Diceros bicornis minor: one gene and its partners. The protein of the gene in region 1 interacts with the protein of each later gene in a pairwise test. Links are inferred from orthologs where the notes say so. Each region holds a gene or a part of one and is shown on either strand. Other genes may lie near its edges.

Region 1 (7,934 bases):
TAACTAGTGTGTTCAAATACTGTTTTGAACAGTGCCAGCTATTTATTGCCAGCCCCTCTGGACATCCCACCCCAAAATCATCTTTTCTAGTACTAACAAGGTCTCTGGTCTTAGAAGCCTGCCTTCAATTCTGAGCTGTCCCCAGTGACTGCCTAGCCTTGGTGTTGGCTGCAACCTTCTGGTTGAACCATAGGGTTCCACCCTCATCTGGCCAGCCTGGTCACTTGGGGTAGTGGGTACAAATGACCCTTTTAAGAAGCAGGCATTAATGATCTCAGCTTTCAGGGACCCGACCCTTGATGTTCCCCCTTTTCCTAGAACTCTTAGATCTACTCCTTCTCTCTTTGCTGTAGAAGCCACTTTCCAGGAGCCCTGTTTTTTGGAACTGAACTGCACAGATTATAACTGCTTCTGTACTTAGCTAAGGAAGAGCAAGGAAGGCTCTCAGGCACTGACTTGCTATTTCTTTCAAGCCAAACCAGTTTAAAATGAAAATGGTCTATCAGAATGAACTGGATTTCCATTTCTCAAGTCTACTGCCTTCTTTCTACATCCTAGAGTTACCCCTGTTTCTAGCAAACTAGAAGGGAAGGAGATGAATGCCTGGGAATACTTCCTCATCCCACATGCCCCTCTTTGAAGGCCTCAGCTCATTTGTTCAGGCCACATCTCTTCTCAGTGAGACTCAGCTTGGTATCCATCATTTTGGGTATTCCTCAGTAGATTCATCTTGTGGGGTGAGATTCTGGATTCTCAGTTGAAGGCAGGGAGTCAGGTTCTCCAGGTCCCTGCAGGCACTACAGGGATACGTAGGGAAAACAGGCTGGTTGGGGGCCTCAGGAATGTGTATGACTATCTGCCTCTCTGGCAGGCTGGGGAAGGGTGCAAGGCTCAGTGCACTGAACTGAGGAAACGCTCATAACCAGTAGCAACATCTTCCAGGTAGGACTATCCAAAAAGTGAGTGTGAGAGTGAAAAATTGCCCAGAGTGGGTTTCTTCCACAGCCGTTTTAGGATTGCACATTCTAGACCAATCTTGTCCAGTATTTTTTCTTGTCTTAACTTTTGGATTCTGTTGTTAAGCCAACAAGCTGAGAATTTGGCTCTGCGGAGATCCATATGGTAGGCACTAGCTGCTCTTTGACCAAGGCCTTCCTAAATGATTCAGTCATCCCATTGTCTAGCCCCTAGCCCCACCCCCAGATTTAAGACCACGGCAAATGAAGAATTTGAGGTCAATACCAACCAAGTCTGTGAATTAAAGCTGTTATTTTCCTCTCAGAGGGCATTTTGCATCAGGCCTGGGCTATGTGCAGAACCAAAACTGGGTATGAGAGTTAGAAGAAGCAGTGTTAAATTTTGGGCCCAGAACACCCTGGGAGAAAGGTTTGTGTAGTGTGTTATAAAGGTCTTCAGTGGCTTTGGGCCTACCTCGCTACTTCTGGGCAAGCCTAACTGCTGACGTCTGCGTTAGCACATACCTGAACCCTTCTGCTAAACACTAGCCCTGCTCCCCTGTGTAGGTCAGATTTTCAGCCCCTGGGTTTGGGGAGAGAAAACTTGGCCATGCCCTGGGGGCAGTGAAGGAAGTCAAAGCTTAGAGCCTGAGACTGGCTAGGAACCTCTGACTCACAAGATGGCCTTAAAGAGCCCACCTCTACAAGAACCTTCAGGCCCTGGAGTTAGGTATTGGCCAGCTTTTGTGGGAACTGCCTTTGATTGAACCACTAAAGAAGTGAAGGGGCTGTGAGGTCTTAGCCACCCAAGACAGACTGGCTGTCCCTCAGAAACAGCTTGGGTTCCCAGCTACAAACCTAAGGAAGGTGAATCGAACCCTTTTCCTTACTGGTTTTTCTTTCCAAATTCATTTGCTTTTAGTTTTCCAAGAACTGTAAACTGGCTGTTTTCCATGTTCTCAGGGCCCCTGGGTAGACAGACAAAGCTTGATTATTTCAGAGCAGACATAGGCCAAGAAACCATGGCATTGAGTGTGCTGAGTCCAGACAAATGATATTTATATACACATCCAAATTTGAAGAGAAAATGTATTTCTTTAGGTTTCAAACACTGTAATAGATATAAAGCAAAAATAAAAACCTGTTGCAAAGTTCTAAATCGTCTTCTTTGGAATGATCCTAGATTTTGTGGAAGCGAATGAGGAGAGGGTGTTTAAACTTGTGGCCTAACAGTGGAATTAAGAATTGCAACAGCCTGCTCCTGCTATAGAGAATCTTTTTAAATCACCTTTATTGTAATATAATTGACATAGAGTAAATGGCACATATTTAAAATGTACAATTTGATAAGTTTTGGCATATACAATCAAGATAGTGAACATATCCATCACCTCTAGAAGTTTCCACATGCCCCTTTGGAATCCCTCCTTCCTGCCCGACCCCCAGCAACCACGCATCTGCATTTTGTCACTATAGTTTAGTTGGCATATTTTCTAGAGTTTCTCTAAAGGATTTTGACATCATTTCATCAGCACCATTCCACAGCCCTTTGAGCCCATTGAGGTCATACAGTTCACAACTACCCACTTCATTTTAGATCAGTTCCTAAAGCAGAGATTACAGACAAAAAGTTGGTTCAACCCAAAAGGAGGGTTTTGGTTGGCTGATAGAGTGTGTTTAAGGTTTAATTTGTTGCCAACATTTAAAAAAATAAAGATATATCTATCTTGAAAAATATCTGGCACTGCTGGGCCTGAGTTTCTGCTTGAAAACAATCTGCAAGAGCTCCATTTTACCACAATCACCGCCATTCTCAATGGTCTCCCTGACTGACTCTGGCAGATGCTAATATTGGTGATATTCTCTTTTACAGCAAAGGAGAAAGTAACTTTTTAACCCATGTTTCTATCAAATTTTCTTATTCCTTGCCTGCCTGCTCTACTCATTACCCAGGTGGCCCCTGTAGGCCACTGATGATCCTGATACACCACTCCACCCTTCACCCCATGCATACCTTGTTCTTGCTTATTATGTTCTTTATCTCTGCCTAGAACATCCTCTTCCCATGAAAATCCATCAAGGCTTGATTTATATGTTACCTTCTCAAGAAATTTCCAACGTGCTTCTCTGGAAATAAGCAGGGACTTGGTTTCGTGAGACCTGGATTCCAAACCTTTCAGAGCTTGAGTTTGACCATTATACTATTATACCATATTGCCTCTCAATGTTACCTGGAAAATGCAAACTCTTGCTGCCTAAGGGATGTGGAAGAGAACTGCCCTGAAGTCTCTAACTGGGGAAAATACTTAACATCTTAAGAGCCCTAAAACAATGCCCAATTTGCACAACAATTTAAAACTCTCTGCCTCCAGAATGATGCTAGGCTTTAGGACTAGAGAATTTAGCCAATGTCATTGTTGTTCTCGCAATGTCATTGACTTGTAAAGCAAGTAATTTCAACACCTTGTTACTAATGCTGTAATAAGACCTCTATCCAGACTTAGGGAGCCAGGACAGACTGCAGAGCACTGGGAAGGCTCTGAAGTGACCTTTGACCTGGACTTCAAAAGATTTTGTTTTTGCCAGAAGGCCGTTTTGGAAGGTGGAATAGCACCTGCAAAAACCTAGGAAATCCTGGAAATAAAAGTATAATTGGAGCAAAAAAGGCAGAGGGGATGGGCAGGATCGGCTAGAAACAGAAGCCAAACCATGTAGACATTAAATTCCATGTGCAAGAGTTGTCGGTTTTTTTTCCATTACCTCTAGGCAACTGGATAAAGAATTGTGATATCACTTGCGGAGAAAAGTTTGGCTTTTTTCCCCTTTAGCCCCAGTGCAACTGAGACTTTGTAGAGAATGAGCCAGTCAAAGAAAAGGCTCAGGAATCTGCTGAGGCCAAAATTCCCCTTACAGGGCCCCCTTACCCTTTCCAAAGAGGGACTCAAGCTGGTAATGGAGAGGGGAAAAAATATAACCTACTTTCACAAGTCACAAGTCATCGTCAGGGAAAGCGTCCCATGGTGGTTATTTCTTCTGGGTAAGAGGCAGGGTAGTCTAGTAGTTAAAGATGGGTGCTGGTGCCAGACTTCCTGGTCTCGAATCTCTGCTCTAACCATTCAATAACGATGTGACCTTGGACAAGTTATCTAACCTTTGCCTTACGGTCCTTGGCTATAAAATGGGAATAACAAATAGTACTTAGTTATGAGGATTAAGCTAGTAGACACTGAGAAAGCACACTGTAAGCGCTCAAAGAACTGCTATTGTTATTAAACGCTTCTATTTGAATACGGATATTGATGCCCTCGGATAAAAAAAAAAAATGCCAGGGGCCAGCCTGTGGCTTAGAGGTTAAGTGCTCGCACTCCGCTGCTGGCGGCCTGGGCTTCGGATCCTGGGCCCGCACCGACGCACCACTTCTCTGGCCATGCTGCGGCAGTGTCCCACATACAGCAACTAGAAGGATGTGCAACTTATACAACTATCTACTGGGGCTATGGGGAAAAATAAATAAATAAATAAAAATTGTTAAAAAGAAAAAAATGCCTGGTCACACAGCAAATTAGTGATGAAGTTAGGACTGGAATACAAATCTCCTGATTCCCAGCCCCAGTATTCTATCCCTTGTCCTCAGAGTTCCTAGATAGTCATAGATGTTCGCAGAAAGGGTGGAGGCATGTAAGAAAGAACAGCCAGGGGCAAGGCTTTGAGAGCTGAATCACAGCTTCCGCGTAATGGAAACGAGGTTGACGTTGATGTTTGTGCAAAATGACCTGCTTCTTTCGGACCTCCTGGGTATCGGGCTCCAAGACTAAACCCCTTCCTACTGCATCTTGGGAGTTGGGGTCAGCCCCAGTGCATGGAGGGACTTGTAGTCCTCTCCCTCCCCCGCCTTCCCAACTCACCGGCCTCAGAGGCTGCCTTCGCTTCATCTTTCCCAGCAAGCCTCGCGAGAGCGCCGGCTATTGATTGGCTGCGGCGGGAGCAGGCGGCTCTGCCGGCAGCGGTTACCCAGGGTTTCCGGTGCGAGGCCAGAGCGGGCGAAGCCGTCGGGACGTTGGCGTTGAGGTGGGTACCACGGCGGCTAGAGGGACGAGGCGATCAGACGGTCTGTGGACCTGAACCCTTTCGGCCAGTGCGGGGAAACACGCCGATTCTGCGCGAGAGCTCGGGCCGGGGGGCAGGGCTGAGACCTGTGCGCATGCGCGGGCGGAGCGCGCGGCTGGAGGGCGCGCGGGGTGTGGGTGGCTGCGCGCGGGCGCGCGCTGGGGGCCCCACGTGGGGCCTAGGGGGCGGGGAGGGACCGGCGATGGAGCGTCTCGCCACGTCAGTCTCGGTCCCTGAGCCTGTCCCGCGGTAGGCCTGCGTGAGGGCCCGTGTTGTCCCCGGGAAGTGGTTTCGGGAAAAAGGAGGCCTCTCCTTCCTCGCTCCCGGAGCAGCGCCCGGAAAACCTGCCTGGGCACACCAGGCTCCTGTGACTGGCTAGAGACAGGGGGAACCGTTGGCTCCCTCCGGGGAAGGCCGGCCAGTTTGTTTTAAGAAGCTTTGTGCGCCCAGTGTTGAGATTTCTGATCCAGGCTACGAAGAATTTCTTAGTCTGGAAAATAGCAAGTGTGCTTGTTTCTATAGGATCTGCTCCTAACCTAGCATTGCAAACCACAATGAAGAACCAAGACAAAAAGAATGGGGCTGCCAAGCAATCGGGCAACACTTCCAACCCAAAAAGCACCCCAGGGCAACCGGAAGCAGGACCGGAGGGAGCCCAGGGGAGGCCCGGCCAGTCGGCTCCTGCGACAGAAGCTGAAAGTTCCACCAGCCAGGCTCCAGGGAAGACTGAGGGTGTGTGCCAGCTCTGCTTTTCCAGCGGGCAGGGGGAGGAGTTTGTGATTCGCCAGTCTAGCTTCTGGAGTTAGAGGGCAGGGCCACTGTTTACCCAGGAAGGAGGAAATGTAGAATGAGAAGAGGACATTGCTGAGTCTGTGCGGTCCCCACCGTTTCCTGGGGAGTGGGTAGAGCCCCCACCCTAAGCACAGGAACAGAACTGTCTTGAGAGAAGGCTCTGACAGGATTAAATCAGGGAGCAGTCAGATGAGACACCTAGCCAGCAAATCCAGGTTAGAAACACCTTATTCACCAGTGGGTAACTGCTGTTCATATTTGAGGCATTTCTGGAACTTTTTTAATAGTAAGAAATGAGTTTTGCAGGGAGGAGAAGGGCAGGGACTAGACGTTGAACTGCTACATGCCATCCCTATGTTGGATGCTTTACTTACTTGATTTCTTTTATACTCAAACACAATCGGGCAGCAGTGAGAAATAATTATATCATTTTATAGGTAAATAAACTGAGGCTTAAAGATGTTAGGCAACATCTCACCCAAACTAGTAAGTTTGGACCTGAAAAACGCCAACCATTGGTATAACCATCTTATTTCTCACTCTGCTCCTCCTCCTCTCCTGGTGTAGGAGCACAAGCCAAAACTGCTCAGTCCGGGGCCCTCCGTGATGTGTCTGAGGAGCTGAGCCGCCAGTTGGAAGACATCCTGAGTACCTACTGTGTGGACAACAATCAGGGGGCCCCAGGTGAGGACGGGGCACAAGGTGAGCCTGCTGAGCCTGAAGATGCAGAGAAGTCCCGGACCTATGCTTCGAGGAATGGGGAGCCTGAGCCAGAGACCCCAGTAGTCAATGGTGAGAAGGAGACCTCCAAGGGGGAGCCAGGCACAGATGAGATCCGGGCAGGTGACGAAGTCGGAGACCGAGACCACCGAAGGCCACAAGAGAAGAAGAAAGCCAAGGGTCTGGGTGAGCAGAGGGCGGCTGCTTGTGAGGGTGCTGAGGGGGAGAAGTTTGGACCTGACATTCCTTGGGCTAGCCTGCTCTGCCAGGATTCAGAGGAAATCCTGCTTCCCAGAGCAGAGAGTCCCGCTAGTTTAATCAAAGCCAGTGCTTTGGGGCCATTGCATAGAAGTGTGCAGGTTGTTCACTGTGCAAGGGCTTCTGGCCTTGGGAGCAAGTAGGAACTGAAATCCAACTTACGCTCTCTGACAAAGTGGAGAGCAGGAGACCTGAGTGGGCTCCTGTGTCAGCCAGCACCATTTCTAACCTGCTCTGTGACCTTGGGCAAGACCTTTCTTCTCTCTAGTCCTTAATGTTTGTTTCTCTACAGTAAGAGAATTGGCCTAGACCAGGGTTGAAAACTCAAATGAGCCAAGCTAGCTGGGGGGCCCCATGAGGACCAAGAGAGTACCTACTTCATCCAAAGGGTTGACTGCCGCCTGGTCCCAGAACGTTGCATGTAAAACCACAGGCTAAGTGTAGCCAGCTTTTCCTTTTTGTTTTTTTTTAAGAAAAGCCATGGGCCGGCCCCGTGGCTTAGCGGTTAAGTGCGCGCGCTCTGCTGCTGGCGGCCCGGATTCGGATCCCGGGCGCACACCGACGTACCGCTTCTCCGGCCATGCTGAGGCTGCGTCCCACATACAGCAACTAGAAGGATGTGCAGCTATGACATACAACTATCTACTAGGGCTTTGGGGGAGAAAATAAATAAATAAAATTAAAAAAAAAAAAAAGCCAGAAATCTAGGGTTACATGAAATGTCCAGAATTCTAACATTTGGCAACTCATATGCTGGGAGCCAAACAAAACCCATCTGTGGGTTGGATTTGGCTTGTGTGCCAGCGATTTCCAGTCTCCACCCTGATCTCGGAGCCTCCCAGGGTTGACCCTTCAGGAGCCTCGTGCTGTACTCTGTACGCCGGCCCTCCAGGTGACAGTGGGAAAATTGGACTCAGGCTAGTGTATGTTAAAGAATCAAAGTTAGGTGATATTATGCCCATGTCTTAGTTCCTACTCCCCCACCTCTACCTGCCATTCTAATTTAAAGAGGGTGGTTTTTGTTGTTGTTTTTTCACCTTAGCATCAAATATTGGAAGGTATACTCATGTTAAAGTTCACTGTTTGGCTGCCTGTGTTGAC
Region 2 (8,010 bases), on another chromosome or scaffold:
ATAGGGGTGGGGGAAGTTCAGAGGTTTAGACGTTAATAAATGATTAATGAGAAAATATCCCTGGAAGGCACTATAATAAAATGCTTTTCTTTTCTCTTCACTAGTTCCCCCTCCTTCTCCTTCCAGGTGTGATTTAAAATAAACAAAATTCTTAGGCAACTAATGCTAACTGTATGTAAAATGCAATGCTCATAGTGGGGTTTCTGTTTAAAAAATAAAATAAAATAAGGCCTGTGGGATAAATAGAGTGAGTCATACTTCTCCTAAATTTCTCTTCCAAGCACTTCAGTATTATCTCCATTGTGTTCTCGCTCGACTATTGTAAGCTCAAATGCTGAGTGGAATCCCAGGGGGAATCAACTTCCCAGCTTCTGTTCTCCTTGGACTCAAGCTGTAAATCAGCTCACAGAGAGTTACAGTGATTGCTGCCAAGATAGCAAAGAGTTGTTCAACATTACCAATTTAATGCAAAGATTCAACTTATTAAATTTATATCAAGTCCTTCTTATGATGAGAGCAAGTTAGTTTCCAAAAAAGTTCAATTATAAGACCATCAATAGGACTTACTCATTTCAATAAGTCCTTTTGCTTCTGTGTAAATTATACTAATAACTAATATATACAAGTCCCATTTGGGCATAAGGAAAACCTTAGGTACAAAAAAGGAGATAAAAATTAAGCATTCTTCATTTTTAAATAACTGAACTAAGAGGAAAATAATAAGATATATTCGTTCAGCATTGCAGGAACAACTCTAACACATTGGAAAAACCCTTGAACAATCGATTTCATTGTTAATAAGGAACACTAACTCTCCTGCCTTGGAGTGACTTTCCTTTTAAATAAACCATATTGGATGGTTCTATTAAAAGACATCCAATCCTTTTTGGTTTTCATTAATCTATAAGGGTTTAAATATGGCAAAATAATCAAAATGTTAGTCATTTATCTTTTTTCATGTGTTACTATTTTAGATGCATCTCTAGATATCATCAGCTTTAACTGGATTTCCAACCACCTAAAAAAATTATTTGGCTTTTTTTTTCCCCCACAAACTTCCTTTGTAATAAACTGAGATCAAATCAAAACAATTAATTCAACTCTAACAATATTTTCCATATCTCACTCACTTCTAATAATTACTTTAGAATTCTTTTCCAGGCACTTGATTATTATTAGCAGAAAATCATGTGACTACATTAGATGACGTCAGCTAATCCTCCGAAGCAACTGTTCCTCTCCAGTTTAGAAAGAAATCAACACGTCAGGCCTTCTCACAGACACAATACAACACACTGTAACCCACAGTAATTAAAATCTCTGCTAGCACATCTTTCATTTCCACAACTTCCTCTTACTGCTGTTGAAGATAAAAGAAATTAACAAGGGTCATCTATTGACATGAGCTCTATCCACCCATGTCCTTTTGCGAACAGGGCAGGGTATAAATATAAAATACGAAATATAAAAAAAAAAATTAGTAAACAGCCTAGTACCTGGTCCCAGCATGAGCTAAGCAAAGGAAGGTGGTTGGAAGCATTGCTATGGCTTCACTGGGTCCAATCATCTTGAATTATTTTCAACAGTTTATTATTATTATTGTTGTTGTTATTTTACAAGCATTTAGTGACTGTCTACTATGTGAGTCACGAAGCCAAGCACTAAAAAGGATATAAAGATATACACTACTCAGTCCCCACCCTTAAAAAGTTTAAATGGGGGCTTAGCCCGGTGATGCAGGCAGTTAAGTGGGCAAGCTCCACTGCGGCGGCCCGGGGCTCGCCAGTTAGGATCCCGGGTGCACACCAACGCACAGCTTGGCAGGCCATGCTGTGGCGGTGTCGCATATAAAGTGGAGGAAGATGGGCACGGATGTTAGCCCAGGGCCAGTCTTCCTCAGCAAAAAAAAAAGAGAGAGAGAGAAGAGGATTGGCAGATGTTAGCACAGGGCTGATCTTCCTCACAAAAAAAAAAAAAAGTTTAAATGTATTGAAAACCATAAACATAGTAGCTATAATTTATTAAATAGCCATGATGATTTAGGCAGTTTATACGCGATAACCCTTCAGTCTCCCCAAAATCCTGCACAATAGGTATTGTTGCCCTTATTTCACACTGTACAGACCCAGTGCCTATTCTTTAATGCGGGTATGCACCCATCCCCATCAAAACCATTTGCTTCAGGGAAAGCTGATTCTCATCTCCAGACCTCTGGGGCCCATTCGACCTCTATAGTGAGATGAGCCAACAAATCCCCTTTTATTATCAGAGCTAGTTTGGGTCGTTTTTTCTATTCTTTGCCACCAAAAGCACTCTAACTGATACCCAGGATAATATTCATCCTCCAAAATTAATAACATTTTCTTAAAGAGATGGGCATTACATTTTCCTTCATTGTATATTTTTTTTAGACATTAAGGTAAAGCTTAGCTGATTTCATAATATAAAAGCCTGAAATTTCATTAAATAAATATTCCTTAGATGAATGAATTAGCTGAACAAACGAATGAATAATGAATAAACTACTGAATATGGGATAATTTCTCTGTTCCTATTTTGCCCCTACTCTCTCAGGCTAAGATGCATGATTTTAGCATGATTTTACGCTAAAAGAAAAACAATAATTCTGAGCCAGTTGGTGATAGCCTGCTCTCTTTATATTCTATAGTAAATCATACTAACCCACCCTCTCCCCTGCTTGACATTATTTGAAAATCATGCATAACTGAGGTTAGGTGGCCCACACCCAGAAAGGCAGAAATAGAAAAGAGTCAAACATCTGACACTTGCCCTGTGTACGTTGACCTCTCTCTGACATTCCCTATCCATCAGTAAGTAATGTTCACCAGAGAATGAGAGATTAGACAGTAGAAGGGGTGTTTTGTTTTGTTTTACTCATAGTGATCAAAAGTGCAATACATCTTGTTCAACTGCCAATTGTAGTTGTTAAAGACAATAATGCCATAAGTGAGGGACCTTGTTCTCCAAGGAAGCTAAAGAATGTGCAGAAATGACACATAGCCTGAGGGGAAAGGGTGCGGTGGGGAGAAGAGGAATACTTTAAAGATATAAGTCACAGAGACATGCTGAAAATCCCTCACCTCATGACTGGTAACTACTCCACTGAGAGGGAATTAGCCCTCACATTTAAAGTGGGAAATGACTATAGAGAGGGATAAAATGGTTATTTATTTCCAGACGCCGCCAACTTCCATATTGCTCTCTTGCTGTGTCATAGTCACAGACCTGTACAATGAGAGAAAAAATAATTTCTAATCTTCCTGTTCAAGAAATAATTTTATTGATCTCCACTTCATTTTTTATTTTTTCTATGATTCAGCAGGTCATAATTGCTCCAGTTCCAGTAGCTTTCTATCACTCAGCAAGATGTCCATGGGGTTAAAATATCTTACAAGTTAATAGGAGGTGAAGAAATTTATTTCAGCACCAAGGAGAGTGCCCTGTTATTTTTCTAACGGTTCTATGCATTCAATACTGCATATTATTCATGAGGATAGAAAAGAAGTTTTGAAAGGTGATTTGATAGAAAGCTGCTAAGAAAAATCCTATTCATTTCTATAAAATTAAAAACTTGCCAGGGTTTTGTACACATACATGATTTCAACAATGTGCTACTCTTTTAGCTTTCAAATGCAATGGAATTAGGGATTATTTGCCAATTTTTCAAAGGCCAAAACCACAGTTTCTGAATGGCTCTAGACTGGAGGAAGGTTCAGCGAAGTCACAGAAGTGTTAAATTAACAGTGATTAAAAGCTCCATGAGAACAAGTCCTAAGATCTTTCTCACTGCTTATCTTCAGAGCTTGGCACACGGTAAATGCTCAATGAATATTTATGTGAGTCAAGCAAGAAAGAATGAATTAATGAATGGCATTCATTAAGCGAGTAAGAATAAATTAATGAATACCTTGTTTGTAATGAAAAGTCACTTTTTGCAACCAGTCTCAGAGATCCTTATAAACCACACTGCTCAACCTGAAACTTGAACACATGTTTCCTTGCCCTTTATCAAGGGAGTCTCTGGATCTCAGAAAAACCATGCTCCAGATCACACCTTCCACGTCCACTAAGCTTTCAGTGCAAAAGTTTCTCCTTAGAGCCCTGGAAAGGTCACCGAGGTTTCAATCCATGTAATCCTACATCTCCAGGGCAGCATGGCGTCCACCCACCTGTGGCTCCCCCAATGCTCCAACCGACCAGTCCACCTGGTTCTGCCCTATTACCAGAGGGCAGGTAGGACAGAGGCACAGAACTCTCATCCTCTTCCACAAGGTCCTTAGGTGGACCCTAACTACTTGTCCCTATTCCCAAGCAGCCCAGGCAGCCCCTTCTTTTTGTGCCAAGAGTAGCAAACATCAGGCCTTGCTCTGCTGAGAAATCCTCAAGAGTCCAGAGACATCTGAATCCAGCTGCGCTGGGAGACACAGGACAATAATGCAGTTCTGCTCTGAGATGCCACCATAGCCAGACATGGGGTCACCCTGGGAGACTAGAATTTACCAAAGATATGGCCAAAGGTGAAAGAGAAAACATGAACTAAATACACCTTATAAACAGATGTTTCCAACAGTCAGCACGTTGTGAAGACTTCTCAGGCCTCTGAATCCCTTTCCTTTTTTATGTCTATTTGTGCGATGAAACATGTGTGAACTAAGTCAAGCCTGCTGGCTCGCAGGTAGTCACAGCCCAGATCTTAGCTCCTAAGAGGCTTCTGGGCTAAGTCTCCACTCTACTTGGACCGTACTATCAGGCCCCCAAAACGGGGGGAGCTGCCAGGGAAGGGCTGATTTCCATTTCAAACTGCATTCTGGTACTTTGTACTCCAGCACCATTGGCCGATCAATATTTAATGCTTGGAGATTCTGACTCTGCGGGAGTCATGTCAGGGGACCTGGGGAGCCAATCTGCTTGAGCTTCTGAGTGATAATTATTCATGGGCTCCTGCCTCTTGCTCTTTCTCTCGCACGGTCCCACTCTGCAGACTCAGTGCCTTATTCAGTCTTCTCTCTCGCTCTCTCCGCTGCTGTAGCTGGACCCTTCGCCTTCGCCACCGCTCAGCATCCGCACATCCCTACAATGGCTAAAACAGCAATGGGTAAGGCATCGCGCCTCGTTCTCCCTCGGCTCGACCTGGAGCCCACCTCTCAGCTTCTCTCTTAGAGCTTGGAAGGCAATCGGAGATATTTTAGAGAGAAAAAGACGTTAATGGTAATAGGAGCACCAGGAGGACGGAGGCAGCTCTGGGGGTTTGGGGAGGGCAAAGAGAAGGTCCTTGGAAATTTAAAGCTAAGAATTTCTTTTAGAAGGTAGAAGCAGGTAAGTTGCCCTCCTATGGGTAGGGAATTTATTCTATTTCCGTATTTAAAATTAGGGCTCAATCGTGGGGGGTGGGGGTTACCGTAACTGTTTGCCTTAAAGGGGGTTAAGGGACATTTTGGAAAGTGCTTTGTAACGTCCTTTATTTCCTCTCTAGTTAAAGAAAGAAAATGGGGAAGAGGCAGGGGAGTGGAAGAAAGGAAAAAGAAAAATGCAAAGTCAAAGCGGTCCCATCTAGGCTGTTTGAAAGATGGGTGGAGACGAGGGAGGAGGGCGGGTGGAGAACAGGGCAAATTTTATGGTATTGTCTCGCCGGAGAAACCGCTAGTCCTGGGGCGCGGTGCGGGGAAGTAAGGGAGGGGGCCTATACGCCTTTGTTTTAGGAAGAGGGAGGGGAAGGAGAGAGGAAGTCGGGAGGGCAGGAGGGCGCGGGTGGGCAGCTGCAGGGGCGGGGGAGCGCGCGGCGGGGAGGGGTGAGGGACAGCAGTTTCGCAGGCGCTGGGGTGGGGTTTCTTTGTGTGAGGACGAGCGGTCCCGGGGGGAGGCACCTGCGGCGCCGGGCGCCCAATGCGGGCGGCCCCACCCTGTGCGGAGCCGCGCCCGCGCCCTCACCCCTTCCCCCAGCCGGGTGCGGCATCGCAGCCCAAAGGCGGCCGGGTGGGGAGCGCAGCGCGACACCCCGGAGCCCAGCCCTGGGGGGCCAGCGGCGCCACGCCCCCGCTTTGCGCTCCTGACTCCCAGCCCGGGCCACCGAGAGAGACCTGACCACTGCCCCCGCCTTCCCCACCCTGGCCTCATTGTTCTGTTTTACAGAGAGCGGGGGAAAAGTGGGTTAAGATTTTTCTTTTCAAAACCACATTACATAGAGTGATTCGACATAGGCACAGATAAAGGCTTCTAGGAACTCATCTGGGAAAAAGCTTCTGGAACCCGGATATGTGTATGTATAATAATACAGATACAAAAGAGGTCAAGGTCTTAAATTGAGCTACGTGAAATATCCGTGTCGTAGGTCAGACTGGGCCAAATACCCGCAATTTTCATGGGTTCATGAGATTTCGGATGCAGGGCCTCCATCCCCAACCGTTCTTGGGCCTCAGGTGCCCCGAGGTTCAGCGCTCGGTGGCCCGGGGTGGGCCAGCAGGGAGGGGCCCGAGGTCCCTTGGGGCTGGCGACACCCCTCCCCCGAGACGCGATGCGGGATGCGGAGAAGGGGAAAAGCCCCGAAAGGGCTCGCTCTGGACAGCTCCGCCCTGCCCCACCCTCCCGCGGAGCTGGGTCTGGGACTTGGCGAGGAAAGGGGGAGGGGCCGCTGAGCGGTCTGCAGTGCTAGCGCCCCGTTTTCCAGCCCCGCAGTCCAGAACGGCCCTGGCACCCCTCGATGTTGCGCAGACACGCGGCGTGGCGCCCAGCCGGGCGCCGAGCCCCTCCCAGCCCAGTGAGCGGCTCTGCAGAAGGCTGGCTCGAGCCCCGCCCGGCCACACAAAGGCGCGGCCCCACCCCAGCGGGCCGCGACACCGCAGAGGTGACCCCTTCCCGGGGGTGGGGGGCCGGGTTTCTCTTCTCGCCCTCCCACAGCCCGCGGAGCTCGGGGCTGTTTCCCCCCCCGCCGCAGCCCCCCGCCCACGCTCTGTTCTCCATGCTTTCCCCGGATGGAGACCCCTGGGATGGTCTCCCACGGAGGGACCCTCGCTCCTGCAGCGAGGCGTGGCTCGGCCCCACCCCTCCCAGCTGGGGCCCAGACCCGACCACCCCTCCCAGCTGGGGCCCAGACCCGACCGCCGCTGGCCGGGTGGGGGCGCACGTGGCGAGCCGGCGCGTGGAACGCAGCCAGCCCTGCAGAGCCCCGCGCCGCGCCCTGCGCTGCCCTCCCCGGGCTGGGCGCTCGGCCCCGCGGCTGCAGCCGGGGAGACGGGGTTCTGCGCAGAGCCCTGAGCTAGCCTCGCTTCCCGCAATTCGCGCTTCACCCGCAAGTCCGGAGGGTTCTGAGAAGGGGGGATGGGGGCGATCTCGCCCTGCGCTCTGCAGCCGCACCGAGAGGTTTCTGCTGCAGGAGGGCGGCTACAAACTCATCGTCATCATCACTATTATTGTTTGTATTTCAAATCATTATTATTATTTCATGACTCAGTGGCCCTATTTGTTCAAAAGGTTTGAATGATTGCATTTGATTAAGGATTCTACTCCTCCCTCCCCTTCTCCCCCAAAAAGACTTCTTTCTGCGGTGGTTCATTTTACGTTATAAAGCAAATATATTTTCGGTTCCTGTTGGGATTATGTATGTTCGTGTGAGTGGGATATATGTGCAGGTGCTTGCTAAGGGAAGGGCTTGTGTGCCAAAGATTGCTGGAAAATTCTCCGCAGAGAATCGTTTGTGGCTGCAATGGTGAAAAGATACATATATAATTGAGATGGTATGATCTTCGCCGTGGATTCCATAAGGTTATATCTATAAATATGTAAATATAGGTTATGCATAAAATTTTAACTGTTTTTTTAAACTATTCTTCCAATTGCTGATTCTTGATACAGTCTCAGTTCTGCACAGAAACACGGATCGTGAAATGGTAGCCACCATCCCATTAATAAAAATCCCACCCCAAACAGGACAGATGCAGGCATCCTCTCTGCCATGAGTAAGCTGCATTTGCAAATCATGAAAGGAAGCACAAC
Region 3 (7,083 bases), on another chromosome or scaffold:
GCTGCAGAGTGCCTCAAGAAGGACGCATATAGGAAGGAAGGAATCAATAGATTTAGTGAGGAGGACTACAAATAATGAGAGATCAAAGTCATTTTGGCATTCTTGGAGAAAGGGTAACAGAAGAACTACAGTTTCTTTCAAAGGAAGCAAAAGAGAACTCAGCACCTCAACTGATCGTGTACAGCTGGAAAGCTGAAGCAGTTTCAGAAATCTTGAGGCTCTTGAGGAAAATTTAAATGATTCACCATTACTTTATGGGTAAATACATTTCATCAAACAGAAAATGCTATACTCGGTAATCAAGGAAAGAATCAAATATGGAGAAGGATAAACAGGGTCAATCTAGGTACAAGAGAATTTCAATTTAGTTTCAAATTTAACGTAACTCATAGATTACTTAATTATGCTATCTCAAGTGAAGAGTACATCAACAGCAAGTATATGGACTCCTACAGGTACCAACAGCATCAGGAAAACACACCTCAGACACAACCAGTAGCCAAACGATCCAGCGGCAAGATCTCAAGATGGACCACTGGGTTGTCCAATGTCAGAAGAAATTCTCCAAGACTGTTACCCTGGATGGGTAGACTCAGAAAAACAATTCCTGAACTTGAATATGAAATATATACAAGGGTTACTCAGCAAAACAGACAAACAAATCATGTTACAGCAAGTAGACCTCAGAAAAGAATAGAATTTACTGGGCTCCAGAGTAGACAAGTGAGAAATAATAATTCATTGAATATACTAAGGCAAAGATTTGGAATTTTAAGACTAAGACCTACTTAGAACAAAAGGCAGCACACACTACTTCCCAAAGGAGGTGTCACTTCTTCACAAAGTCCACATATTTACAGAAAAATTAATCACCAGCATCCACACCATATGGTTGGTCCAAATGAACAAATAATAAGGAACATTTTACTGGTTAGGTTGAATGCACTGAGTTTTTCAAATGAAAGTTGGTCCTATTTAGAATAGCAGTGAACTATTTACAAGAGGTTAATTTGGTGTTTAATAGCTAACAAAGAATAACAACTCAACCTGAACTAAACAAAGCTTCAATTAGCTGTCCCGAAGACAGTCGTGTCAACAGAGCAGAGATGTGAATAATTTAACTGCAAAATTCATACCACGAAAACTCTTGTCTTGCTAGCGTCTTTTTACTAAGAAATCATGCTGGTATTCACTAGATAGGATTAACTAAAGAGGATACTGACAAGTTGTCCACCACAAACTACAAAGCCAACAAAGACAAAGAAGGAAATGAAATAGCACCTGCATTAATCTGCGTAAACATTTACACAGCGGCAACACATTAAGACAGCTTGCCTGTGAGTTTCTTGTTCACTGTACTGCCTGCTGGCTGGCTGAAAATTCCACGTGCCCTATTTGTCGTCAGGCAGTATTTGAGTCTAATACTATCCAAACAGTGGATTAAACACATAAACTATTTAAGTTCTGGTGTCTGTGTGTTTTTAGGATTTAATTATGTCATTGAATATTGTGCTAACCTAGTAATCTGGTTAAGCAATGCTTGCTATAGCAAGGACTAAATTCACAGCCAAGATAAAATTTATCAGAAGGTCAGGTAATACCATATATAAGATTTATTCTAAAGCTGTCAAAGAATGTGGTACAGAATAGGTGACATTTGAGCCGGATACTGAAGGATGAATGATTCATCAAGTTGGAGGTGGAGTGAAATGGCATTGAAGACGAGGAAATATGGCTAGCTCTAGAATGGGGAGCATTCACCCAGGCTGGAGTGAAGGGTACAGGAGGCTGGAGGGGTGTGGCAGCAAATGAGGATAATAGGATGGATTAAGACAAGAGGGAGAATGGCCTCATTGTACACTAAGCTAAAGTTTGGACTTCATTTCATTGAGTAATGAGAATCTACCAAATATTTTAAAGCAGAAAAGTGACAAGAGATGCCTAGCTCTGCCCTTGGCAATATAGAAGGATAAAGTGCAGAAGGATTAAGGCAAGTAAAACTGTTGAGAGGCTGCATTAAGAAGTAGTCATGACCATGCAGATGGGAACGGGAGGCCAAATCTGAGCAACATTTTAGGAGAAAGAACCAAAACAATTTTAACATCCAACTGAAGGTGAGGGAGTTAAGGAAAGGCTGCAACTCCACAGACTACCATGAAAGATGACAGAATAAGGAGAATGACATCCAACTTCATCTCCTACCTCTATCACACACGCTGCACTCCAGCCATCCCAAAATTGCAATTCCACCACCAAGTCGTGCGTGCTCATGTTTCCAGGCCTTTGCCCATGCTGTTCCAGCCACCTGCAGCCTAGTGAGTCTGGTGAACTCGTTCTTTCCATATGGTCCTTCCTCCAGGAAGCCTGCCCTGACTACAACCGGGACAGGCGCCTAGTCCCGGGGCTCCAGGAGCCCGCAGTGCACGTCTTGATAAAAACAGTCTCCGCGCCACAGTCACTGTTTACACGTCAGTCTCTTCCCCTGACACTGGCTCCTCCACGTCGCCATCTACCCCTCACTACCGTCTCCCAGCGCTCGGAAGCCGGGGGTGTTCCTTAAATGTTTGCTGAGTGTCGTGGACGAAAAGACTCACACGGGGCTCTCCCTCTAAGGTCCGCTGCGGTTCTGACAGTCTTGGGGTTCCAGAGTCACTGTCATTATTAAAATGTCCTCTAAGGGGAACATGCCATCTCGGAGTCCCAGAGGGTTGCAGACACTCGTGCCCCGTCTTTGGAGTGAGCGCCACAGTCCCCCGAGCGCGGCCGTCCCCGCCGAGCCCCGGCAACCAGAGGCAACGCAGGGCCGGCGGTCCGGAGTCAGTCCGCCCGGCCCAGCCCCAGCCAGGCCCTCAGGCCGACGGCATTACCTCGACAAGACCTCCAGATCCTCCAGCGCAGACAGCAGCCGCTCTCGCGTGCTGTTACCGCCCGCCGCTCCCGAGCCGCCTGCCGGCCGCTCCTTCTCCTTCTCGCCGCTCGAAGACGCCGCCATTCTTCGCTCGGACCAGCAGCCGGCGCCTGCGCAGCTGCGCGCTGGCGACGACAGGCGGGCTGGGGAGGCGGAAGGAAGGGCCGCCGAGGCGGGGGAAGAGAGGCCCGGCCGGAGCGCCCCCTGCGCGCCCAGAGGTGCATTGCGCGCGCGGGCGCCATCTGCTGGGCCAGCGAGGGCTTTCTCGGGTCCCACCCTGGAGCGAGAGCCAAGCCCACAACGTGGAGACGCACCTGCGGTCAGGTTTTCCAGCGACTTCGCGTCTTCAAGCAGGTATGGGAGGCTTCTGCTCGACGGATTTTAAACATTCGAGGGAATTACATAATGGCCCACCTCTTGTGTCAGTTCTTCGTGAAATGGGCCGGGGTCTTCTCAGTATTAACCTCTCTTTAGTCTGCATTCCCGTTAACGCTATTCCCACCCTCCTGTTTGGCATCTCTTGAACGCAGTAAGCACCTTAGGACCAGAACCATGATCCAAATTTTTTTTTTTTTTTTGGGAGGAAGATCAGCCCTGAGCTAACATCCATGCTAATCCTCCTCTTTTTGCTGAGGAAGACCGGCTCTGAGCTAACATCTATTGCCAATCCTCCTCCTTTTTTTTTTCCCCCAAAGCCCCAGTAGATAGTTGTACGTCATAGTTGCACATCCTTCTAGTTGCTGCATGTGGGATGCGGCCTCAGTATGGCCGGAGAAGAGGTGCGTCAGTGCGCGCCCGGGATCTGAACCCCGGGCCGCCAGTAGTGGAGCGCGTGCGCTTAACCGCTAAGCCGTGGGGCCACCCCATCCATCTTTTTTTATCTTCAGTTTTTCTTTATTGTGGTAAAGTACACATAACATAAAAACGTACCTTGTTAACCATGCTTAAGTGTATAGTTCAGTGACATTAAGTACATTCATATTGTTGTGCTACCATCACTATCTCCGTAACTCTTTTCATCTTGCAAAATTGAAACTGTACCATTAAACAACTCCCCATTCCTGCCTCCCCCAGCCCCTGGTAACCACCATTCTGCTTTCTGTCTGTATGGTTTTGACTGCTCTAGGTACCTCATAAAAATGGAATCATACAGCACTTGTCTTTTTGTGACTGGCTTATTTCACTTAGCATAATGCCTTCAAGGCTCACCCATGTTTTACCATGTGTCAGAATTTCTTTCCTTTTTAAGGCTGAATAATATTCCTTTGTTTGTGTAGACCACATTTTGCTTATCCATTCATCTGTTGATGGGCACTTGGGTTGCTTCCTCATTTTCATAATCCATCTTTATAATCCCATAACTCCCAACAAAATGTGTTGCTCAATGCTCCACACGACTGTTGAATTGAAGGAATCAATTTACTATGTAAGTGGTAGTTAATTAAATTGTTGTAGCACATATTCCAAATCAGAACTGGATGTCAAAGCCAAAAATGTACCTTAGCCCACTTTTCCTGAGGAGAACAATGTAGTAGGGGACTTGCAGTCTACAGGAAAACCCAAAGTTACAACAGTATTGGAAATGGCGAGTTCTATGTTGGTCCAAGTTGGGCTGTAAAAAATGAGTTGAAGAGTTGTCGCCTACAGACAACAGCTGGGAAGGAGGCAGGCGTACTTGTGATCCCCTTATTCCAGCATCCTGTCCTCTGGTCTGTCCTTCTGCTGGGCACGTAGAGTTGAAGATTCCCTCGGGGACTCATGCTAAATAAATTCATTCATAGCAACTGCTGTATATAATCCAGAATGCTGATTTATTCACTTACAATGAAAAGTAGTAGTGCGAAGCACAATTTTACTCATAGACAAACCTACACAAGAAGCCAAATTGTCACCAGAATGTCATTTGGTAAACTTGGATCAGAACAAATGAAGATAGACAAAAAATCAATTAATACAATCATCAGGATTTGCATCTCCATAGTGTAGGGACATTTGTGTTAAAGAGATTGGAATATTTGTGTTCATAGGTCAGGGTGCCTTCTCCTCTAGACAGTGCAAAGGCACCAGACACCTTTTATTTTCCAACCACCCCCCACTTCTGCTCCTGGCCAACCCCTTCTATTAATACAGTCAATTCTCAGGCAGTGGAATAAATTAGATGTATGTTTTCTCAATTACAGTTGCATTCTAAGCATGCATCCCAGTAGCTCTAGTCTGTAATCTCTTATGTTAAGTTTCCAAGGGACTAAACTCTTACACTCTCTGTGGGTTTTGTTTACTCAACTCTCACAGGTTCATCTTGGGCCATAATTCTCGGGGGGGAAGGGAGAAGTTCAGTAACACTAACTATATTAGTGTAGCTTCCACGTAAATATTCTGGGAGGATTCTAATCAATTTAAAATGACCAATTATCAGTCCTACTTTACAGACATTGAGAGTCAATGGATGGACAGTGTATGTGTGCTGTGAACTCCAGACCTCCTCAGATTTATTGCAAATTCTTATGCATGTTGAACATTGTCTATAGACTGATAAGTAATAGCATTACCCACAGATATACTCTTTCACAAATTGTGCAGATCCAGGTGTGATAAACAAAATATGAGTTATTTTATAATATATATATTAAAATTGAATATGAATATTTTATATATCTTATAGTTATTATAATAATTGAATTCATGGTAACTTTGCGTGTAAAGTATTTTCTCAATCTACAGACTCAAAAAGGGTAAGTGCTACTTTCCTATGAAATTTTATGTATTTAACCTGCCAGGTACTGTTCTTTAAAAAAATGAAAACTCCTTTAATTCTCATAAGAGTCCCAGAGGCATATACCGTTATTATCGCTATGTTACAGATAATGAAGTTAGGAGGCAGAGAAATTCAGAGACTTGCCCAAGGTCATACAGCTGGTGAGAGGCAAAGCTGAGATCTGAACCCAGAGTCTGACTCCAAGGTCTGTGCTCTTAGCTGCTGGTTGTCTTGCCTCCCTTTTTAAAGAAAGAGGTGCCTTCATGTACTGAAAAAGGGTTACTTAGGGCTAGTCTAAAATACAAGCTCTGTCGAACGCACAGTTTGAAACTCTGAGTAAAAAGCAGCTGCAAACCTTTCGTGTGGCGGTGTGAGCATGCAGCGAGAAACCCAGCCAGGCCGGTCCCTAAGAGTCAGCAGAATAGGTGGCCGTATACACTATGTGTGGTTTTTTTATTATTATTTTTTATTTTTATCAAGCAATGTTTAAAAGTCAAATAGTGCTCAAAAGCTAACAAAAACAAAAAAAGTTCTCAGTCACTACCTCCCCAACCCCCACATCCTGTCACATTCCTCTCTCCCTAGCGGCAACCACTCTCAACATTTTTAACTGTTTCTTCTATGCGTTGCTTCCATATTTTTAAATAATATGCATATATTCTATGTCTCTATTAAACCCTTTGAGAAATTTATTGCTTTCCTATTATAATGGAGAATTTTCTCTCTCTTACATGTAGCTAGAATCCAATTTTTTTTAAATCTATCATCAGTGCTTACATTACTACACTATTATTTACACGTAACTATGTAATTATTATTTGTTTGAGATGCCTTACAGATATCTCTGTAGAGATTTTTAAAAATTGGAATAGAGCAGAAAATTTCTAAAGCATCAAATTACATTGCACTGCTTTGTGGAAACATTTTTCAGTTACATATTTATGTATGTGTGTACTGGGTCAAAGATTAAATATGTTTTTTACTGTGGATCGAAAAAGTTTGCAAGCGTTGGAAAGTAAGGAGTAGAAAAACATGTTCTACCTGAAGTGCCCTGAAGGGAGAGTCTGTATACCTTTTGCATTCAGGGGGCAGAAAATTAAAGCAAACGTGTGCAAATAAAGTGGTGTGTTGCGATAATTATCTGGGATGCGTTGCACAGATAGAGGGTGTTATAGGCTAAATTGTACACCCTCAAAATTCATATGTTGAGGACCTAACCCCCAATACCTCAGAGTGTGACTCTACTTGGAGGTAGGGCCTTAAAAGAGATGAGTAAGTTAAAACGAAGCCATTAGGGTGGGCCCTAATCCAATCTGACTGATATTCTTATAAGAAGAGGAAATTTGAACACACTGAGAGATGAGGGATGCATGTGCACAGAGAAGAGACCATGTGAGGACACAGCAAGAAGGTGGCCATC
Region 4 (7,143 bases), on another chromosome or scaffold:
TCCCCCTCTCTCCCCCGTCCCCCTCTCCCTCCCTCTCTCTCACTCTCCCTCCCTCTCTCTCTCTCTCCCACCTCCCTCTCCCTCCCTCCCTCTCTCTCCCCCTCTCCCTCTCCCCCTCCCTCCCTCCCTCTCTCTCCCTCCCCCTCTCCCCCTCTCTCCCTCTCTCCCTCTCCCTCCCTCCCTCCCTCTCTCTCTCCCCCCCCCACACACACAATGGAAGCAAAAGCTTCTTGAAACAATCCTTACCCTGCTGTGGGTGAACCCTTCTGATAGTTGACATTCTGTTCTGTTTCATTAAAAAACTGTGCAAATCACCACCCAGTACAATGACTAACGAGTCACAACTTGTTCTTTGAAAAACACTAAACCCAAGGATCTTAATCAATGGTGTGAATACGCCCCTTAGGGGAGGGACCTCTGGTTGGGGTGAACTTGGACCAGGAATCCTGAACTTGAGTTTCCACCTCTGTAAATCAGGTGCACCCACTGACCTGGTGTGAAAGTTGAGATGCAGAGTGCCCCCACATAATAGATGCTCAACAAATGGAATTCCTTTCCCTGAGGCAGAGTGTGCTTTGGGGGGGGGGGTATAGACAAGGGTGACCCCTACACGTCCCTGCATCCGGTTTGCACATCACTTAGAGGTGCCTCTCTAAGACCGTTTAGAGTTTCCCTGGGTACGGGGTCTCAGAGACTTTCCTCCCGGTTTACCTCCCTGCCCTCCCTCGCCCATTCCCTAACCCCGGCTCAGCCTCCCCAGCAGTGGTTTCTCCTGCTCCAGCTCCTGAGCATGGACTGATTCCAAGACCTAGGGAGCAGGCCAATGGGCAGCCTGAGAGGTGGTTGGGGCTTTGGTCTCTAGGGAACGAGGGCATGCTCATTTTCTCCTCTCTCTCTTCTGGGGAGAAAGTGGGTGGGCAATGCTAGTAACCTCCTGCTTCCTGTCTTTCAGATTCTTGGGGCCACCATTGAGAACTCCAAGATTGTCCTGCAGATCGACAATGCCCGTCTGGCTGCGGATGACTTCCGCACCAAGTAAGCGCCTCTGCCCTGGAGGGCTGCAGAAGCCGGGGCAGGGAAGGAGGGGCAATCCCAGGCCCTTTTGGGGCTCAGTGCAGTGGGGGGACTGGGCCCTGCCCTCACCCACCCCAGCTGGTCTGAAGCAACTCCTCCCCCACCCCATAGACTCCTAAACCCTGGGGAGGTGGGGAAGTCTTCAGAGGTGCAGAGGAAATGCCGGCCTGACTGCAGCTATTGCCTCTGAAAGGTTTGAGACGGAGCAGGCCCTGCGTTTGAGCGTGGAGGCCGACATCAACGGCCTGCGCAGGGTGCTTGACGAGCTGACCCTGGCCAGAGCCGACCTGGAGATGCAGATTGAAGGCCTGAAGGAAGAGCTGGCCTACCTGAAGAAGAACCACGAAGAGGTGTGTTTCAAGCTGGGCCTTCCATCCTTTCCACCCTAGCTTCCCAGGGCTGAGGATATTTTTTTATGCTGTATCCTCTGACTGTCGCCATACTTGCTGCACCCTCAGCATGGCCCTGGGTGCAGAGTGTGGCTCCCAGGGTTCCAGCAGGGAGTGGTGGCAATCCAGTCTATCCCCCCATGCTGCCTCCTAGGTCTGCACCTGAAAACCAGCCCCCTTAGGCGTGGGGGCCGGGGGCGTGACCTGGCCCAGACCCAGCAGGCTCTGGGCTCTGACATGCCCACTCTGCTATCTTTCCAGGAAATCAGTGCCCTGAGGGGCCAGGTGGGTGGCCAGGTCAGTGTGGAGGTGGATTCTGCTCCAGGCGTTGACCTAGCCAAGATCCTGAGCGACATGAGAAGCCAGTATGAGGTCATGGCTGAGAAGAACCGGAAGGATGCTGAAACCTGGTTCATCAGCAAGGTATGAAGAGGGAAGCAGATGCCCTTTGGGGAGGTGATCAGGAGGGAGGGCTTGATGCTCCCAGGCAAAGTTCTGGCTCAGGGCTTATTCCTTCCACCTCCTCTCTTATTGCAGACTGAGGAGCTGAACCGGGAGGTCGCTGGCCACACAGAGCAGCTGCAGATTAGCAAGACGGAGGTCACCGACCTGCGGCGCACTCTCCAGGGCCTGGAGATCGAGCTGCAGTCTCAGCTCAGCATGGTATGTGCCCTCAAGTCCTTGCAGGCTTGGGTAGCCTGGGTGGTGGCGTGCCCATTTCCCCTCTGGGAACCATGCTCTGCTGAGTCTCCTTCCCTCTCCCTGCCCTCAGAAAGCTGCCCTGGAAGGCACGCTGGCAGAAACAGAGGCTCGCTTCGGAGCGCAGTTGGCACAGATCCAGGCTCTGATCAGTAGTATTGAAGCCCAGCTGAGCGACGTGCGTGCTGACACCGAGCGGCAGAACCAGGAGTACCAGCAGCTCATGGACATCAAGACGAGGCTGGAGCAGGAGATTGCCACCTACCGCAGCCTGCTGGAGGGCCAGGACGCCCCCACCCTGCTTGTGGGCCCGGGCCGCCCCTTTGACAAGCCGCCACCCCCCAATGCCCACTGAGTCCGGCAGCCTCCTGTGGAGGGATGCCCCTGAGTAGGGGCATGGGAGGGGAGGGATCTTTACTGTGGCTCTCCCTCTGATCTGCCAATAAAATTTTATGGCCCAAGGGAGGAAGGACATTGGGTTTGTTATTTCAGCCCATGGAGATGGGCCAGGCCTTGGCACTGTTCAGGTTTTATTTGGATCAGAGTCCACCCTGTCCAAGGAAAGGGACGGGAGTGCGCTCACAAACTCTGTTAATTGTGATTCCTGTTTGCAGAAGTCTTCGTTTATCTCACCTGTTCCCTAAAACAACCTTGTGAAATAGGCATTGCTTCCATTTTACAGAGGGGTAAACTAAGGCTCAGAGAAGTGAAGTGATTTGTTGTATGTATAACTATTCTAACACACGGCAGAGGTGGGATTTGAAACTGGTTTTGCTTCCAGATTTCGTTTTCTTTACACTGTGTTCCCCCAAGGGTTGGTGTGTGTGTGTGTGTCTGAAATTAATGTTTACTGTATACCTACTATGTGCCATTTAATCAACATAAAAAGGTAGATAGTATGAGTTACATCTTATAGAGTGGGTAAAGTAACTTGTCCAAGGCCACACAGCGACTACGTGGCAGAGCCGGGACCAGAATCTAGGGTTCCTGCTTCTCTTTTTTTTTGTTTTTGTGAGGAAGATTAGCCCTGAGCTAACATCTGTTGCCAATCCTCCTCTTTTTGCTAAGGAAGACTGGCCCTGGGCTAACATCTGTGCCCATCTTCCTCTGCTTTATATGGGATGCTGCCACTGCATGACTTGACAAGCGGTGCATCGGTGCGTGCTCGGGATCCAGAGCCCAGGCTGCTGAAGCGGAGCGCATGCTCTTAACTGCTATGCCACCGGGCTGGCCCCAGGGTTCCTGATTCTTAACCACAGTGTCACCCCTGCACCCCTGTGTCCTAGGATCCACCCTGCTTATGCCAAGTCCTCAGTACACTCCAGTCTTGCTCCATGTGAAGGCCTAGGACCAGGATCCCCTGAGGCAGTTCACTTAACTGAAGGAGGAACTGCGGCTTTGGGGTCAGAGCCTGAGTAATGGGGGGGGCAGGCATCCGCTCAGAGTAAGGCTGGAGAGGGTGCATCTGCCGGTGTGCGTGCACTAACACATTCATCCATGTCCCGGGCAGCCCTGCATAAGCCCCTATGCCCACCAGCCATGCCTGGGCCCAGAGCCTGGAATGAGACCCAGACCTCCCACACAGACCCCCAAACTGGCCTGCCTTGGGCTGGTTCCGGGCCAGCAAAGGAACGCCGGTCCCAGCTTCCTGGTACTGCTCTGCCCTCAGGTGGGTCTGGTCCTGCCCCTGTGGTTTATAGCTTGGCTGCCAAGAACTGAGGCCAATTAAGGGTAAATAAGTCCTACTTCGCCCTGGCTGAGAGATTCAGGCTGAGGGAGTCTGTTCAGGCCCTGCAGATCTGTGTGACAGCAGGCCAATCCTGTAAGGGACACTGCTCCTTCCCCCAGAAGGTCTGCTATAGGGGAACAGATTGACTCTTGGCTAAGGAGGCCCGCAAAGCCGATCCTGAAGGAGGTCCCCTTTCCGCCGTTTCCCCTGGGCCTTGGAAAAGTTTATTAGCTTGCTCCGAATCAACGAATCAACGGGTGACCCCAGAGCCCAGCTCTTCCCTCTCCCTGCTGCAGCCCTGGGCCAGGAGCCCCTTCTGCCACGTCCCCAGCTCTTCTCCAGCCTCCAGCCCCCACAGCTCCCTCTCCTACTTAACTTCTCAGGAGGCCCTGGAGCCAGAGGCCAGAGGCCTGGCCTTACTGCCAGGCTGGGACTTCCCAGGATGTTTGTCCCAGTTCATGAAAGCCTCTGTTGTTGTCACAGCTGAAACCCTCCCCTCTGCCCCGAGGCTCTTAGAATGTGGCTGTAGGTCTGGGGCTGGGCCCACACAGGTGGAGCAGGTGACTGGGTCCCAGGTTTGGGTGTCAGGAATGAAGCCCTCCTTTGTGTGTGTGTGTGTGTGTTGGGGAGGTAGGGGTGAGGACACTTTTCTGTCTCAGTCTGAGAATTGAAACTAGGGGTGCTCTGTTGACAGAAGTGGCTGGGATAGAGGAGAGGGAGAGGGGGAGAGAGAAAGGGGAAGGGGACAGGGAGGTGAGGTCTTTCCACCCCGGCTGGTCATCATGACCAGTTCAGTTTGCAAAGCATTTCCTGTCAGTTCTCTGCTCCATCCCTGTGAGTCAGACTGGGCAGGAGTTATTTCCATTTTCCGATTGGCAGACTGAGGCTCAGAGATAGGAGGCTCCATTACCCCAAGCCACATATCTAATGAATGACAAAGGAGCAATTCTCCAGGCCCCAGATCATACGCTCTCTCTGTCCCCTGCATCTCCGTGGGGAGTGGGGGAGGGGGGTAGCGGATTCTCAGGTTTATGGAGGCACCCCTCCCCATGTGCCATTAAATGCTCACTGTGGCCCTGTAGCAGGGGTCAGTGTTAGTGACTCAATTATTTTTTTTTTTTCAAATTGTCATAAAATACACGTAACAAAATTTACCATCATAATCATCTTTAAGTGTACAGTTCTGTGGCGTTAAGTACATTCACGTTGTTGTGCAACCGTCACCACCATGCATCTTCATTACTCTTCCCATCTTTTAAAACTGAAACTCTCTGCCTATTAAACAATAACTCCCCATTCTCCCTCCCCTAGGCCCTGGCAGCCACCATTACACTTTCTATCTTCATGATTTTGACTACTCTAAGGCCTTATATAAGTGGAAAAATGTCCCAATTTTAAGTCGGGAACCTGGCTCAGAGAGGTTGTCACACCCAGAGGCGGAGTCCAGCCCAGGCTCTTTCCGCTGGGCTGCATCGTCCCACCCCAAGGACAGAGGCCGGCTCTGGGGACGGCCTGTCTGTCTGCTGTGGGCAAAGGACAGAAACTGGCACAGCCTCCTGGGCGGGCTGCCAGAGGAAGGGCCTGCAGCCCAGGCTGGGCCCAAAGGAGCTGGGTCTCCGCCCGTGCAGCCATCGCCACCTGGTGCTAATGAGCAGGCCCAGCCCCACCCAGACCTAGAGCTCACAGGAGCTCTTTAGGCTGAAACCAGGGATTTGTGACCGGGGCAGCTGCTGCCTCAGGCATGGGCCTGAGAGAGGAGGGAAAGCCACCTCGAGGGGCTTCTGGAGGGGAGTCAGGGTGCAGAAGAGGGGCTGGCTGGGGTCCAGTCCTGCCTCACCCTGGGTGATGGCGCATAATTTTTTCCATGTTAATTGCTGGGCCCTAATGACTACAGAGGCTTTAATGAGCTACGGCTGATCTGAGTTTGATTATTTTTCTTTCAGAGGAAAAGACAATATCCGCCCACCCATGAGACAATACAGCACTGTCAGGGCTCAGCACTGGGATGCTCGGACGGAGGCCTGGCTCACTGAGGGACAGCCCGTCCCCACTCCCCAGGCCAGCAGAACCAACACCACCCACCCCCCCGCCCCCAGCTACCAGCTCAGATGCACGAATCTGGGGTCTGTGGGAGGGACTCTTTTTTCCTGTCCTCTGTTTAAGTGGGGTCAGAGGACCCACTGGAGTCCTAGCGATGCCCCTTACTAGCTGTGCCACCTTGCACAAACTGCTTCCCCTCTCTGAGCCCCAATTTCATTTCTTTTGAAACAGGGGCAGGGATCGTCTTCTATGTCGTGAGGATTGGAGGAGGCGATGGATGCAAAAGGGCTCTGTTAAACCGTGAAGTGTGCGGTTGAAGGTAAGGGATTACTGTTGTTACAGCAATAATGGCAACCACCTGCACTGGGTGCCCAGTGGGGCTGGCTCTGGAAGAGCAATGCTGCAGGACGAAAGTCCCTCCTGGTGAGGGTACGCGGGAGTCCCAGGTACTGGACATGCACCCTGCTATCCGGCCCCCAGAAGATGGGGAGCCAGGATGAAGCAGGATGGGGGCCCTTGGGCCTCAGGGCCTCCCCATAAGTGAGAGCTGAGAGTGCCCCTTGCCACAAGGAAACAGACTTACAGGTAACACGTCCAAGGTTTCACAAGCAGTAACCCATAGAGCCAGGATTTGAACCCAGGCCTGAGGAACACCCGAGCGCTGTCCACTTCACCGCGCTGCAGCCCTGGGCCAGGAGTCCTCTTTCATCTCCAGCTTAGTCTTGCTCACCTCCCCAGCCTCACGCCTCCAAGTGGCACTGTGCACAGGTACCAGCTACCCCTGGAAAGCTGGCCCCTGAGCTGGTGACAGAGAAAAGGGCTCTCCTGAGTGTTTGACTCCCCTCTCTGGCCTCAGCAACCTGCTCTGTGAAGTGGTGCCTTGGCCTTCAAGATCTTCGAAGTGTCTTCCAGTCTGCCCACCAGGCCTCCATATTTCCTCCCTTCCCACAACGTTCAGGCACGTAGAGCCTTCTGGGCTAGGTCCCGCTCCAGCGCCACATCACTTTGCAGGACAAATGGGGTTAATCTGGCCCAGCTATGCAGCGACATGCCTCTCCCCGGAGGAGGAGGCAGGGGCTTCCCAGAACGTGTTCCAGTTTTATCTGCAGAGGTTTGCCCCGACGTGTTCCGGGAGCAAGCAAAGGTTCAGGGACACGTGCGGTCGGCAGGTGGCGGGAGGATCAATCAGCCCCGTGTCAACCCTGAGCCTGG

Evidence for each region.
Region 2: the proteins of TXLNA (region 1) and STMN2 interact in binary tests that used the Homo sapiens proteins (3 or more experiments, as listed by UniProt). The two-hybrid records come from large-scale screens. The link is inferred for Diceros bicornis minor from reciprocal best matches to the Homo sapiens genes TXLNA and STMN2.
Region 3: the proteins of TXLNA (region 1) and MED4 interact in binary tests that used the Homo sapiens proteins (3 or more experiments, as listed by UniProt). The two-hybrid records come from large-scale screens. The link is inferred for Diceros bicornis minor from reciprocal best matches to the Homo sapiens genes TXLNA and MED4.
Region 4: the proteins of TXLNA (region 1) and keratin, type I cytoskeletal 15 interact in binary tests that used the Homo sapiens proteins (3 or more experiments, as listed by UniProt). The two-hybrid records come from large-scale screens. The link is inferred for Diceros bicornis minor from reciprocal best matches to the Homo sapiens genes TXLNA and KRT15.

The regions. Positions count from the first base shown.
Region 1 is NC_080752.1:46,972,530-46,980,463, forward strand, and holds the start of TXLNA (alpha-taxilin), read left to right. Parts: upstream 1-4,922; 5' UTR 4,923-5,024; intron 5,025-5,319; exon of another isoform or gene 5,320-5,585; 5' UTR 5,586-5,617; coding exon 5,618-5,795; intron 5,796-6,422; coding exon 6,423-6,761; intron 6,762-7,934. UniProt on the Homo sapiens protein: May be involved in intracellular vesicle traffic and potentially in calcium-dependent exocytosis in neuroendocrine cells.
Region 2 is NC_080772.1:30,471,425-30,479,434, forward strand, and holds the start of STMN2 (stathmin-2), read left to right. Parts: upstream 1-4,997; 5' UTR 4,998-5,097; coding exon 5,098-5,116; intron 5,117-8,010. UniProt on the Homo sapiens protein: Regulator of microtubule stability. When phosphorylated by MAPK8, stabilizes microtubules and consequently controls neurite length in cortical neurons.
Region 3 is NC_080748.1:28,976,188-28,983,270, reverse strand, and holds the start of MED4 (mediator of RNA polymerase II transcription subunit 4), read right to left. Parts: upstream 3,013-7,083; 5' UTR 2,993-3,012; coding exon 2,868-2,992; intron 1-2,867. UniProt on the Homo sapiens protein: Component of the Mediator complex, a coactivator involved in the regulated transcription of nearly all RNA polymerase II-dependent genes.
Region 4 is NC_080757.1:40,843,713-40,850,855, reverse strand, and holds the start of keratin, type I cytoskeletal 15, read left to right. Parts: upstream 1-4,143; 5' UTR 4,144-7,143. Other genes in the region: KRT19 (keratin, type I cytoskeletal 19), read left to right, coding at 953-1,035, 1,268-1,424, 1,725-1,886, 2,001-2,126, 2,236-2,517.